Linked DNA regions of Drosophila melanogaster. The gene in region 2 interacts genetically with the main gene of each other region. Each region holds a gene or a part of one and is shown on either strand. Other genes may lie near its edges.

Evidence for each region. A genetic interaction does not mean that the proteins touch.
Region 1: of ZnT41F (region 2) and Zip89B, changing one enhances a phenotype caused by changing the other (phenotypic enhancement), as found in Drosophila melanogaster (one study listed by BioGRID).

The regions. Positions count from the first base shown.
Region 1 is NT_033777.3:16,302,958-16,310,875, forward strand, and holds Zip89B (Zinc/iron regulated transporter-related protein 89B), read left to right. Parts: upstream 1-2,800; 5' UTR 2,801-3,213; coding exon 3,214-4,441; intron 4,442-5,373; coding exon 5,374-5,633; 3' UTR 5,634-5,743; downstream 5,744-7,918.
Region 2 is NT_033778.4:5,778,811-5,786,606, forward strand, and holds the start of ZnT41F (zinc transporter 41F), read right to left. Parts: upstream 4,049-7,796; 5' UTR 3,967-4,048; exon of another isoform or gene 3,489-3,966; intron 1-3,488.

The DNA of each region.
Region 1 (7,918 bases), on a different chromosome or scaffold from region 2:
TAAAAAGCGAAAATATGGAAGTCTATGTTGTGCACGCAAAAGAAAAAAATAGTTAATATAATTATGCTTCCGTGCCGAACCAAATATTCTCGAAAAATATATACAAATTACCATTCGATTAATGGACTTCCCATTTAAAGAAATTTAATTTGCAGAGAATAAAAATGATTTTGCTTGGTGGTAAGATATTTGGCTAATTGGTTTTGTCTTCGGATCCTGCAGGGTATACTTGTTTGCCGAATACAAATACCATATAAAAATGGTTTGTTGATGTGATATATTTTCAGTGTCCTAAACACATATTTTAAGTACTTAAACGATCCAATTTTAAAGTTTTCGCGAATAAAATGGTTTGAAAACGTTCTAAATAACCCTGTCAATCTATTGTTATTACCAATCATCTCGGAAAATAATGCCCGTTTATTTATTGATCAAAACATTCGCTATTTGTCTGATAATGGCTATATGTATAAAGCTATATGATGTACTAGATATACAGTATGAATCAATAGGCAGCTTGGTTTAGCTCTGTTTTGAATGCACTTTTCTATACCTAATATGTACATATATATACACAAGTATTTTGATATATATACACGTCTATGTATCGGATAAATCAAAATGTAGAAATCGCTTTTGGTATTTGGTAGTCGAATTAATTTGGAGCATTTAATTTTGGATCGTTTCTTAGATAATTCCTTGTTTATGATGTGCGAAGTTAGCGGAATAAATTGTTAGGAAACTTACCAAGTTTCCGCAAAGATCAATCACTTGATAGGTAAATACTAATGTACTGAGCCATTTCTTTGATATTACGTGATATGAGTACTAAACTACTAAAAAGTTGCCTGCAGCTAATACCCACTTCCCAAAAACACACATCTCCGACTCTGAACGAATTTGATTTTTACCTACACTTCTCCATGAAACGCGAAAAGTAAAGCTAAAATCAATAAATTGTATGTGGAAATATATATTTTAAACAAATTTTTTATACTTATTACAAATATACATATAACGAGGAAAACCAATATAGCATTAACTATACAAGGACAATGCAAATTTTTCGTGTTGTTTTGCAGTCTTTTAAGTATATAAAAGCAGGAAAAACATTGAAAACCAGTAAATCAAATTTCATAATTTACATGAATAACATTGCATAAACAATTAACCAAAATTTCCTGTATAGTTAAAAAACTCATTTGTATTATATATGAAATATTAAAGATACACAAACAAATTACGCTAAAATTAATATTTCTATGACGAAAATGGAATCCGGAGAACAAGAAAACCGCACTAGTTTATATAAAGTAAATTATAAAAAATATACATACATAATTGACTTTAAATGTTGAAAAACAAAACCAAAACCAAATGAAAAATAACCCATGCATTGATTAATGTATTCAAGAACGGAAATTTACATATTTACGACTCAAAAAGGACAGAGTGCGGAGCAGATCAAAGATAACAAAAAGCGTTTAATGGTTGGCAAGCAAGCAGTGCACGCAGGCCTTTTGCTATTTGCAGGTATAGCAGTTAACATTGTTAACTGCGGCAAAGCAGTTTTAACACTAAAGTAAAGCGAAACAATTTAATTATAATAGAGCTAAATAATAATAAAAAGAAAGCGAGCGAAGACGTACTCAGAAATATTTTCCAACAGGAATGTTGTAGGCATTATATCGTTTGCGAACGCGAATAAAGTAAAATAACAACAGAATTATTGTGTAAAAATGGTTTATTATTAATGTATAAGTATAACAGCAAACACAAATGGTAACTTAAAACAATGTAAGCAAACCAAGAAAAACAACCAACAAAAAAACGAAAAAAATATGAAAATTGAAAAAAACCAAGAAAAAATTAAAACCAAAATAAATGAAAAATTATTACAAAAAGCTTGTGTTTTTTTGGCCATATATGGAGCTGCTTTAGTAAATTGATACATTTTTTTGTTCAGCAAGTTACGATAAATAATAAGCTGTGCAACAAAAAAACAAAAGAATTAGACCAATTACGGTGGGCTTGATTATACTAATTAATAGATCATGGGTCTCTAACAGATATCTCACGATCTGTCCACGCTCCCATCTGGTTTTACCGACTCATTTCCCAAACACGACTAAATTGGTGTTTTGGAGGTATCCTTTGTTTCCGTTGTAACCGTTACACTTGATTTTAATTTCACAAATACCTATGTTACTATCTACAATACATCTTAATACAGTTGATACAAATGCTATTTTCAGTGCCCCGTTTACTCAAGTTGGAAAAAACTCTTTCTGCTATAGAGGTGGCAACCCTAAATAAGGCTTACATTGCAAACCGTTAGTTACATATGCTACCTACCAATTAGCCAGGACGCAAACCCAGACCGCAAAGCAGAGCTTTTGCTTCCGGCCATCTAAATAGCGCCAAAGTAAAAGTCGCGATCCTACATCTTGGCTAAGGTCAGGCGCCTTTTAATGCTGCCCAAAGTGAACGGATGCAATTACTCAATTACTCTGGCCTTTGTGCATTGTCTGTAGATGCCAATATGTGTATGTGTGTATATATATATTTATGCTGAGCCCAAGACAATTAGCGCTATTGCCAAATGAAACAGCGGCGCACAGGTGAACGTTCGCGAGTGGGAGAGCGAGCTTTAAAAGCAGTTTTCTTGCTACTTACCTGCTTAACTTGCTGCTCATGTCTGGTCTTCGTTAGTGGGAGAATCGGAAAGAGCGTTGAAGCATTGGAGCACGGGAGCGTAGAGCCCGCGCAAGATATTCAAGTGAATTACCAAATCCCGATTCCGTCAGTCTGCGAGGTCGCCTCAAGCGCTCAACACCTGTGCGCATCTAGAAAAAAAACAGAAACCTACCTAAATACCAATCCAACCCAATCAGTACTACCAATAAGGACAGGCTCTTAAATCAAACGAAGTGAAAGAAAAGTGACTGAAAAAGTGAAAAGCGGCATGCAAGTGCAGAAACCCAGCCCAACCAGATGAGCCCAACCCACAACCCAGTCGATTGAGATTCCAAACGCGACACATGCTGCTGGTGCTGGAATAACAGTTTTAGCCAAGAGAGCTGCTTGTTTTCGACCACAAGTGGTCAGAGAGGAGAGCCGGAGCCCGCAGTCTTTTAGCTGGTTCGGGAGATCTGTGGAAAACCAAACAAACCAAGTAAAATCGAAACAAAACAAACAGAAAACAAAAGCAACATGAATCAAACGCAAGTAAATAATTTCCTCAAGTGCTTCCTGCAAATCGATGAGCCGTCCAACCGTTGGACATCACGTCACGACGGGGAGGATCTCGATGATAACGACCATGATCATGATCATGACGACGACAACGACGACGACGAGAGTGGCGTTCTGGTTGCCAAGGTCACAGCCATGGTGGTGCTATTTTGCGCCAGCGCGATCTGCGGGTCCATTCCCTTCTTGCTTAACCGTTGCTATCGCTGGACGGAAAACCAGACGAACGCACGATCCGCCATTGTGGTCAAATGCCTGCTGTACTTTGGAGGCGGCGTCCTGCTAGCCACCACCTTTCTCCATCTCTTGCCCGAAGTTCAGGAGGTCGTCGAAGAGCTGCAGGAGTGCGGCATCATCGGAGAGCTCACTTTTCCGCTGGCCGAGCTTCTCATGTGCTGTGGCTTCTTCCTCATGTACTTCATCGAGGAGGCCATGCACACGTATGTCCATCATCATCAGAAGGATGAGGCTGGCGCCGCTTTCGAGCGGGGTCACAGCATCCGAAACAGCCACCTGCTGAAACCCACCGAAGGCAACGCTACCACACCCACAGCCCCACCGGCGCCATTGGCTGGCACCGCTGAACTTGGAACACTATCGGTGCAGAATCTCCTGCAAAACGATCTGGAGCAGCAAAAGTTTGCTACCAAGCCACAGCAACAAGCTAATGGACACGGACACAGCCACGGGCATGGACATGGACATAGCCATCTACCAGTAATCGCAGACGATGCCGATGCGGGGGACATGTTGGCTTCATCTCTGCGCGGACTCTTCATCGTTTCCGCTCTGTCGCTGCACGAACTCTTTGAGGGCATGGCCATTGGCCTAGAGAGCTCCGCCAGTTCGGTGTGGTTTATGTTCGGTGCCGTTTCCGCACACAAATTGGTCCTGGCCTTCTGCGTGGGCGTCGAGCTGATCGTGGCCAGGACCCGGATGTTACTGGCCGTTCTCTATGTGTTGACCTTTGCGGTGGTTAGCCCTCTGGGCATCGGAATCGGGATTTTGATAAATCACGGCGAAGAGACATCCGGACCCAGTCTGGTCTCCGCCATTCTGCAAGGATTCGCCTGCGGCACGCTCATATACGTGGTGTTCTTTGAGATACTCTCGAAAAATCGATCCGGTCTGCGCGCCTATTTGGCCCTCTTCGTCGGCTTCCTTGTCATGTTTGGCCTGCAGCAGTTGAGTAAGTATCACATTTAAATAATAATTACATGTTGTGGCCTTTGAATATGCAAATCGTAGGGATTTAGTGAGACAGAAATTTGCGATGTAAAATACAACTCGGTCTTGCCACTTAAGGCAGTTTTCAATTAATTATATATTGCTTTTTATTACGCAAATTTACATCAAATGATGATTAGTGTACATTTTGCTACTTAACCAGAAATATTGTTTTGTTAGTTTACTTACATTGATATCTATGAATTGCCTAGACACATTAGACCTTAGGGACTCCTGCTTTAATCATTTATCCTTTAATTGGTGATACTTAATAATAAGCAGGCTTAACGGTGATTAGTACGATCGTCGCCGTGTGCGTCAGATGAGATTCTTTAACCGGAATCGATTCGGGGAAATTGGGAACAGGTTCTATATAGCTGATCTGCTAAATGCTGCGTGGTTGACCTTGTAACAGACCTTGCTGTGATTTATTTTGCATACTCATATACAAGACGGCTTGTCAGTCTGTGTACCTAGAGTAAATGTGAAATAAAAATCCCGTCCCTGCCATGAAGTCATCTCGCAAAAATCAGGGGGTTGCCCATGCGAAAAAGCACCGTGAAAACCGCACTCGCAATTGTATTGATGAGCACGGGATAAAAAATCAGACGAGAAGTTTAGGCCACAAATATGTGATTACCCGAAAGTCGGTTAGGTTTTTATATGGTCTAGGGCCAGATAAGGCAGGACAAAACGCTCATAAATCATTGCGTGGAAGTGGGCTGTTGGAATTGAATTCCCATGCTACCATGACGAAAAAAATGTTAAGCAATCAAGAGAGAAGTGTGTAAATCACCATGAGGAAACAGGGTCTACCCGATAAGGATTGGCATTCCTAACAGCATACATTGTTCAACCCTATAACGTGTCACTAACCTTCCTTATCGCTTACAGCTTCCATTGGCGGACATGGTCATAGCCACAGCCACAGCAGTTGCTCCACGTCGGAACACACACACAACCACCAAGAGACTGAGACTGAGACCAGGTCAGCATCGGGCCACACCCATGGCCACCAGCACGACCATGATCATCCACATCACCACAACCACGCTGAGGAGCTGGCCACGGTTCACAACTATGAACAGCAGCTGCAGCTCTTGCGGCAGGTGACCCAAAAACTGCTTGAAGCCCACCCCAAGAAGGACGCCTAGATTGTACCCTGCTCAGCAGAATACTAATTGTATATGTATTTATGTGTATTATATATTTGTACTGTGTAAAAAATAGTGAAAGTAGAAACAAAATATATATTAAAAAACTGAAGCGATTAAATTCTGACATTAAATGCAATTGCTAAACTGGGTCAAAAAATAGTAAACGCTAAGAGAACTAGAACTCTTATCTATGCCCAGTATTTGTGGCCTTTACAGTCTTTTATGAGGTTACAGCCATTTATGACTTCTACAAAACATAAATTTAGAGAAACAAATAATTTATTTTTGTGAACTTATAGTTAAACACAGAAAAAGCAACAAGGAAAGTACATAAAATATTACAACATTCCCTAATGTTCAGGGAGCTTTTAAAATTTTTCTTCTTAAACAATAAAAACAATTAGTGATTCGACATTAGGTTTCATATTAACTGAAAATCAAATTTGCCCATATTCAGTGGTTAGCGGTTACGTACATATAACAAAGTGAAGATACTCGTTTTTAAGTGAATAGATCGGACATATCAGATTGAAAAAGTCATTAGCAAATCCGAATCGATTGATTAATGAAATATGTCAATAAAGCTAAGGTATGTTTAATTTCAAAATTTGGCTTAATAGTAACTTAATTAGATGAGTAAGCGGTTTATACGTGCTCTAAACAAATATTTCAGGCATTTCAAATTGGGTTGAATTCTGAAGTTTGATTGCTTATACGAATATTTTCGAGAATACCCGCTATAAAACGAAATACGTGCCTGGGCATAAAGTTCCACCATCAGATTGCCGGCAGGCCCCGTTTGGGAGTGCGATTCTCGACATTGTGAAATTTCAGCACGATATCTCTCTACTGCTCTACAGTTTGCGAATCGTAAAGTGGCTTGGACTTGTTGACGAGGCCTTGTTGCCAGGTATATATTAATCATGTGATCGTCTTGTTTTGTCGCATAGGCCACAATAAATACAAATTTACAGCTGATAGCTTCGTTGCTTGCGTACATTTTTTACACGATATCTCCACAAAACTCGCTGCAGACCGGTTTCCGAGCTGGCCCCGCTGCTGCTTCTCACCAGACGGACCGCTATCTCTCTGTTTTTTGATAACTGCGATAAGCGCATGTTCTCCGCTCGAGCCGAACTGGAAGCCCAACATCATGCCCCCCCCATCGATCCCCAAATGTCCGGACTGCAGCGGAAATTAGCGCGTCAAGTGTCAAGTGTGAATTTGCGAGGCGGTAAACATGCCTGACAGCCGATGAAAACATCTTGGTGGCTCAATTAGCGCCATCGGGTGATCTTATTTACATCTGTGCTGTTGCCGATGACGATGCCATAGATGCTCAGGTTATTGGGAACTCAACCCCACCCCGTTGTATCCAACGGAACTCACCTTATCAAGTGCGCATCACTCTCTCTTCGCCTTCGCTATCCGTCTACAGATGTTATCAAGACTATCTCAGCGGAGTGCACACACGATGAAGTGTGGCAAAATCGTGGGGCTAAAGGCTTAACGGCAAACGGAACAACTAATCTCTAATATTCTTGGCTGATAGGCAATATTATCATTTGAACTCGAGCTCTTGAACCATATATACCAGAGGAGTGCCGCCAGTAAATCATATAAAACAGTGGTATGCGATAGCCCAAATACAAGATGTGAGCAAAAAAAAAAAAACTTGTTTGTTCTGATTGAGGCTCTGATAACCGGTAGTGAGTAAACGTTATTTCCGAAATTGAACTTTCGTTTTATATGAGTAAGGATCACTCTTTTGAGTTAGAGAGTTGGCCATTAAAAACTAATTTATTTACATCCACTCATTTTTCAAGAACTACAAAGAATACTTGCTTAAAAATTCGTGCATGGAATTCTACAAAAATTATACTGCTATGCCTAAAAGTATGTTCACTTTTCCCAAACACCACAATAAATAATGGTACTAGGTTTGTTCGTGATAAAAGTTAATTCTTTGCAGTTTTATTGGATCGTTTTTTAATAATTATTTTAATATATCAATCTTGAGTGAATTTGATGACATTTATAACGTGGCAAATACAATATATTTGTTCGATTTTAAGCTGGACTGCTACAAAACGTCTTTGGGAATTCGGGTAGGGTACGGGTACTTAACAATTAGAACGTATCTAGTTCGACATAAATATGGTTTTAGTTCTCTAATACGCAATAACATTTTTCCGTTAGCATTGGCCAATAAATACAATTTCATTTGGGTTCGCTTTAATTTATAAAATCTTTACTACGTATGCTCAACTAATTTAACTTTT
Region 2 (7,796 bases):
ATGTGGGCGTGGAAGTTTTGGGTGGGTTTAGCGCGTTAGAGTGGACGTGGCAACAAACTTGCACTGCGTCTTTGTCTCTAGAATCTGTATGTTTAATCTCAACCTTCTAGCTATTATAGTTCCAAAGATCTCAATGTTCATACAGACGAACATATATTTCAAAAGTAAGTGCGTGACACTTTTGGTTGGTTTGTAGACGTTAAAAGGGCAAACATGTATGCATTTACTGCTATGATATATTCGCTAATGGGAGTACTAAAGTAGTGCCCTCAAAAATACCAAATGCCTTATTGTCCTCAAAGGATTCCCTAGTCCCAAGACCCTTACCCCGACAGTAAGAGTTAGGTGCAGAAAATTTGATCTTTATTGTATATATGGACATATTAGAAAGGTTATAGAATATAGATTAAAAATAATTGGAAGCCATCTATGGGCTAATATGATCTGTCACGAGCTGGACCTTCAAAGAGGATATACATCGACAAGCACATGATGCAATGCTAATCCCTCAAGCCCTCATAGGAATCGTGTGTGAAAATCGTGTGTTTACTTTGTCAGTAAGTTTTCTTAGTTATAACATTGTAAGTTACTGTTTAATTAACAAATAATGTTGTTCATTGTATTAAAAGTACATTTCAAACCATTATCACTACATTTACATTGAAGTCTATGGGACTAGTTAGGTAACAGAGAAAAGATACACCGTATACCTTTGAATAAGGATACAAATTAATGGTAGCTCTTTGATTGCTTAGCCAAGAAAAATTACTATTTGTCTTCAGGGTAAGAAACTCGAAGAAGATCTTTAAATAAAATTCATAAATATTGATTATTGTAGGTAAAGTAGAAATATGAAAGCCAGACGAAATCGAAAACATTATGGCAACTAAGAGCAAGTCGGTCAAAACTCCCGAGGCCAACAATGGTATCTCTTTTGGAAATTAGTTATAAACATTTTAATATTGATAACGTAAATAAAAAAAATGATAACGGGTATCTGATAGTCGGGGAACTCGACTATAGCATTCTCTCTTGTTTTCCTTATGTCTAGGGAAATGTGTAACAAGGGCAGCATTTAAAAAATAATTTTCAGGGAGAGGAATTCATGATCACTTCCAGCATCCTATTTATGTAAGCCCCTTTATGTAAACTTCAAGCTAAGCGTGCAAGAAATTACATAGAAGATTATATGGTCCCATATGTTAAACCCTGCTTAAACGTGGATTGCCTAAACGTGGATTTTACAAAAATTTTAAATAATACAGTGGTAGTTTATTGCAGATTAGAAACGTTTTCATTTTAAGTTAACTCTTAAGGAACTCTTATAAGGTAAATTGATTATTCTATACAATGTACGTATAATGATAGCTAAACAAAATGTTGTTTATTATACCCGTTACTAGTAATGTAAAAGGGTATACTAGATACGTGGAAAAATATGGAACAGGCAGAAGGAAGCGTTTCCAACCACATAAAGTATATATATTCTTGAATAGGATCTGGCCATGGCCGTCTATCCGTATGAACGTCATACTATGAACGTCTTGATTTCAGAAACTATAAAAGCTAGACGGCTGAAATCAAGCATACAGACGCAAGTTTGTCGATTTTTCTTCGTTTTATTGTTTATCTTGTCAATTTTTAATTTTTTTCATTTCATTCTCATTTTATTTTATTCATTTATGAATAATTTCGCATTCGCAATCCCACTAGCTGAGTAAAGGGTATCGGATGGTCGGGGAACTCGAATACAGCATTCTCTCTTGTTAGAATTTAAGGACTAACCAATTAAATTTATTACACTCCACAACTTAAGTAATGTAGATATGCATTTATCAACAACGGATCGCACGTTGGTGGAACTCTACTGGCAATTTAAACCTTTTTCATTTGATTCATGTATGCTTATCAGCAAAAGTAGTCCTACTAGCTTGTGTGCCGTTGGGTTATCAGCGTTGGGTTTTCTCGGCAGGTTTTGACCGAAAGCATATTGTTGCCAATCAAATCGCCAGAAGAGCTTGTTATTATCTTTGATAGACAATAAGATACCCTTTTCCTGTCTAGTTGGAGGGCAAGAGATGAATATCGAGAGATATCGGGAACTATAAAAGCTACAGGGTAATCAAATCGCTATGTATGTAAGTTTGATTCAAAACCTTACCATTATCGCTTAAGCTGACACGATCACATTTTGTATTTTCATTTTGTATATTCTACCATTTGTCTTCCCAAAAAATGTAAAGCCAACAAACGGCTAAGGCAAAGAATCTAAAATTGTTAACAATCCAAACATTTTGCGACTGTTATTATGGTTTCGAATATCAAATTAAAACAGTGTCGAAATACTGGTATTGTAAAACTAGTACTATAGTAAATAGTAGTAATAATAGTAATAATAGTAATAATAATAATAGTAACTAGTAGATAGTAAAAACTATCTCTCTGAAAACTGTATCCCTAATCTCAACTCTTTAACTTCTATAGTTCCTAAGATCTCGACGTTCATACGGACGGACGGACAGACGGGCAGGGTCAGATCGACTCGGCTATTGATCCATATCAAGAATATATATACTTTTTCAAAGAATCTAGTATACCCTTTTACTCTACTTGTAGGCCACGGAAAAACCCTTGCTTACGCTTCGCAAAAAAAAAAACGAGTTTGCAATGGGCTCGGGAAAGGATTCAGTAGGAAAATTGACTACAATATAAGCAAGTGGAGGTTTTAGATTGGCTAGATAGTCCAGATCTAGGCCCCATAAACAATATTTGGTGGCTAATGAAAAGAAAGCTTCGAATGAACCACAGAGGAACATTTGTGACCTCAAAGAGATGTGGGTATCGATTTCTCGAGAACATGGCCAAAATTTTTTTAAATCAATGCCAAAACGTATTTAATGTGTAATACAGCCCAGGACGCGACGTTACACAATTCTTATGTTAATTAGTCTGTTATACTTTGCAGCGTTCGAATTAATAGTGGCCTTTTTTTCTTATCTCTGTTGTTGTTGTTGAAAATATAACATTTTTTATCAACATGAAGAGAATAAAATTCTCTTTCAGACTAAATACTTTTGCATACGTTATCTGTAGTAGTAATGAGTATACATATCGTGTGTTGAACATTGCACACCGCAAAAAACACATGCTGTTCGAAACACAATACAAAACAATAATAGTAGTTGGGGCTCGTATTTCATTTTCTTGGCTAGGTGTTCTAGAGCACCTTTTTTTTTGGCATATTTAACCCATTATATTATATACATATATACATGTATATATAACATAATATAATTTCTAATAGCATGCATACGTGTATTAAAATTGATGTGGTTTGTAATCTATTTGATTTGTAAATATGTAGCTATGGGACGTAGCGTTTTGCGAGAAAACTACCAATAAGAATTAGATCCTCCACCAACCAGAGAGTTTAACCGCAAGTCAAAGCAAAGTAAAGAAAACAATGCCGGCGCTGAGCGTGCACTGACCTTATCAGCAGGTTTGACTTTGGCAATGAGTAATAATTTCGACCGCGGCTCTCTTTCTCTCATATGTTTCTACTCAGCTGCTGATGCTGCACATAACTATGCACATACATATGAATGTACATATGTACGTTCCGTTGGAAAGAGAGATCACAACGGAGCGCCCATTCGTTGTATTCACTCTCACGTATCACACTGAACCATTGGCGTTAGTCTCATTTAGGCTTAATTGCGTAAAATTCTGATATTAAAAACATATTCATTTTAAACTCTTCAGAACATTAAAATTTAAATCATTATTATGACTTGTTCGTATCCAATCGTATTTTGTAAATCTTCCAGTTCCCAGCCATATGCGCATTGCATGGACTATGTAAACAAAATATGTGAATGTACGAAATACTCAGTTGAGAGACTACAATAATGTTCCGCTGTCGTGCACTATCAGCTGGTGTTCTCTTTTTATCGTACACGGCCCTACTCGCTGTAATTGTTTTAGATTTCCGATCGTCAGCGACTGCTTACTTCCCGGCACACCCGGCGACGCGTGAAGTTCAACTAACAGCGGTGACGGCGTCGCCTTCTCAGTTGGTTTCTGGGTAGAGCGAGACAGTGATAGTGGGGGCATTTTTCTCTTGAGTGGCGACGCTTGAGTGGTTCTCAAAGGACTTGGGAATTGCGTCTGTTGTTCGCTTATCAAAATAAGAGAGAAGAGTCTAGTTCCTCTACAATCAGAAATATCATATACCCATCACTCAGCTAAGTGGAGTCAGAAAAGAATGTGCCATAAGTAGGATCGTCGAGATCTCTGGCACTATAAATGATAGAAGGTTGACCCATGTATCCATTTTCCAAAAAAATTTTTGATACGCCCACTCTAACGTCCTGAAGCTGCCGAACCGGTCAAATTTTAAGTTTTTTCTCATTTTATTCCCCAACATCTATCGATATCCCAATAAAAAAAATAAATCGTGCAATTTCGGGTTCGCATTCACACTAGCTGAGATAGTCGGGGAACTCGACTATAGCATTCTCTTTTCGTTTATATTCTATTTCTTAATTTAAAAAAAAAAATCATTAGGCATCTGAAAGCCAAAAGCAAAAAGGAAGTTCTTAACGTCCTTAACGTCCGATCCGAAGACGCTAGACACTGATTATGTATATGTAAGGTACATATCAGATCATTTCAATTGGTTTCTTTAGTGTAACCGGAAAATTAAGTCGACGTTATCTACACTTTTGTGCTCGCGAACGTGATTATAAACACAACTCGAAGACTAAAAGGTAATCTTTAAAAATAAGGTTCAAGATAACGTTTCTGGCGCTATAAAAAATACATTTACACTTTATGACGAGTTTCGATATCGGGGAACTATAAATCGACACAGTTGAGACTAGACTTATCAGCGGTTCGATCCTTATCAAGTTCATCCACAGTAAAGCAGTATTATCAAATACTGTTAAAATTAAAATATGTACATAGTAATATGAAAGGCGTTTATCCTTAAAAACAAGAAAGTGGAAGTAAGATATAAATTTTTCAAACGGATTTTCTGGATCATATATTCATATTCATATTCGACTCTACAATTTAGTTGATATCAATGGCGCTTAAACACCGCTCAATTCATCACTTTTTCAATGTGTTTTAATCACTATATCCGTACTTATTTTTGAAGAGAGAAATTTCCATCGTCTTGTTGTCAGGTTCTTTTCAGTTTACGATTAAACTTAAAGTAAAATATATTATTATACCTTTAAAGATTTCTTTCTGCTCATGAAATTATTATATTACCTATAATAAAAATCGCAGGAAATCCGATAATCCATTTCGTTTTCTTACTTTCTTTTTTCTCATCCCCGCCCCATCCTTTTTATCAAGATGCAAAAGCACTTAAGCAAAATCTGCTTCCCGGAATGTGGTATTTCTTATTACAACGGGACCAATTAAAGGAGATTGTTATAAAACAGTTGTATGCAGTGGTGCTTGTCATAAAGAACGGATGAATAATCGAATTTTCTTTGGTTGTGTTTTGATTTGACAAAGAATGTATGTGTATGAATGTATGTATATGTATTAAGCAAATGCACTTTCGACGATCATTTAGCTAAGTTATTTCAAACAGAATAGCTATGCTTAGAGAAAACATTGGTGTGCAAATTGGAAGAGGAATTAGAGTTGTTAATTAGGGTTAATTAAAGTTAATAGGTGGAGTTTGTAGCGACCCCTGAAGCTATTATGTTAGAACACCCTGAAAGCTTGAGCCAAGCTTTGGGCGTGTAATCAAGGGTCATATTAAATGCAGTATTAGTCATAGGAAATATACTGGACGAGATGCAAATCTTTATCAGCTGAACTAGGAAAGTTTTGGATAGCTTGGTTATCACAAATGGAGTGATTTCCAGATGATCATGATTTCTTCTGATGGCCTAGACCCAGGCTTGAGTTTCCGTTCTATTTCTTTTCTAATCGAACCGTCGTAAAGTCAATTCGTGAACATTTTTTTCATTCAACTGTTTTTTAGAAAATTATAGCCTGCGCGCGTTAATGATATAATAATCTAGCGAGCTTTCCTCGCCGCAAAACGGTATGCGGTCTACATTTTTTTTGTGTGTTTTTTCCCAGGCGGAAACTTAATCTGGAAAATCTTTTGCTTGGAGCAACAACAACGCCACGCAAAAAAAGTGAAAAGTGATCAGTCAGTGATCAGCCGGCTCGTGGAGCACCCTTTCGTGCTGTCCCGGGGAGCACCCCGTTGAGCTCCCGTGGAGCACCTCTTTCCATCGATTAACAGACATAAACAAAACCTACGATTTTTATTTAACTTTAACACATGCTGGAAAGATACATAACATGTATATTAATAAAAAAAAGTTACGCACGTGGACGAGATATAAAGGAGATATGAATACACTAGGAGAATTCATCTGTTGAAGTAAACATCTAAAAATAAATTTAAAAAATATAAAGATGCTTGCTAAATTCTGTCATACCTAATCCTATACCTGCGTGAAAGATACCAAACTGCGAATCTACAGTGAAATTTTCCGAATAATTATATCCGCAACTATTTGTATTATTTGTAATAATTTATATAAATATGTACCCCAGGTGGAAACTTATTTTACATTACTTCTGTATTTTTAATTTTTTTTAATTAAATTTCCGTTAGGATTAAATATTTTTTTATATTATTTAACTTAACCTAATTTAATTATTTTCCCTAAGATGAATGTAATTTTAGAATTTTCGGGATAAATTTTGCAAAGATAAGTTTATTTAAATTCGTTTTGGTTCGGAAAATTGTGGAAAGTATGTATGTGTTCGTATATATTCGTAGTGTTTGTGGAAAATTCCACGATCTTATTTCAGCTCATCTGCGCCGGAAGATCGATCTTTTGCCGAGGATTAAAATTGAGTGTATTTTGTCTGTATTAACATTTACATATATTGGAAATAATGCACAAAAGCAATAAAGAAAAAAGAATTTCTAATTATACACCGGAATAAATCTTGGAAGCTAAATAAGCAAAAGTAAAAAATTTTTTGATTTATTTTTGTGAAAATATTTTGAACAAAATCTACTTAGAATAACGCGACTAATGAATACTGATTAAAGAAACTGAAATAATAAAAAAACAAGAGATAATGCTATATTCAAGTTCCCCGACTATCAGATACCCGTTACTCAGCTAGGTGAGTGCTAATGCGAAATTTCATAATTTTTCTGGAATATCAATAGATATTGCGGAATAAAATAAGAACAAATGTAAAAATTTTTCAAAAGTCTGGGCGTGACGGCTATAGGACGTTAAAATGGGCGTGGTAGAAAGTTTTTTTTTGGCAATTTTTCAAAAATGTGTGCGTGGCAGTTTTGGGCGGGTTTGGAGCGTTCGAATTTTTTTACAAATCGATTGAAAATTACAAGACTAATAATAATGTGAAAAGATATCGATGTTTTTAAATTTGTGGGAGTGGCAGTCTTGTGCGGTTTGTAAGCGTTAGATTGGGCGTGGCAGCATGGGTCAACAAACTTGCGTTGCCTACAGATGCTGAATCTCAACCGATGCGTCTTTGTCTCTAGAACCTGTAAGCCTTCTAGCTTTTATAGTTTCTCATAGTTCATACGGGCAGACGGGCATGACATCCTGATCAAGAATATATCTACTTTATACAGTCGGAAACGCTTCCTTCTGCCTGTTACATACTTTTCAAAGAATCTCTACGAGTAACGGGTATAAAAATAAAAACTGAATGTAGTTAAGTAACATTTATTCAAGTTTTTTAGGGAGGTTGTTTTTGCGTTTTAT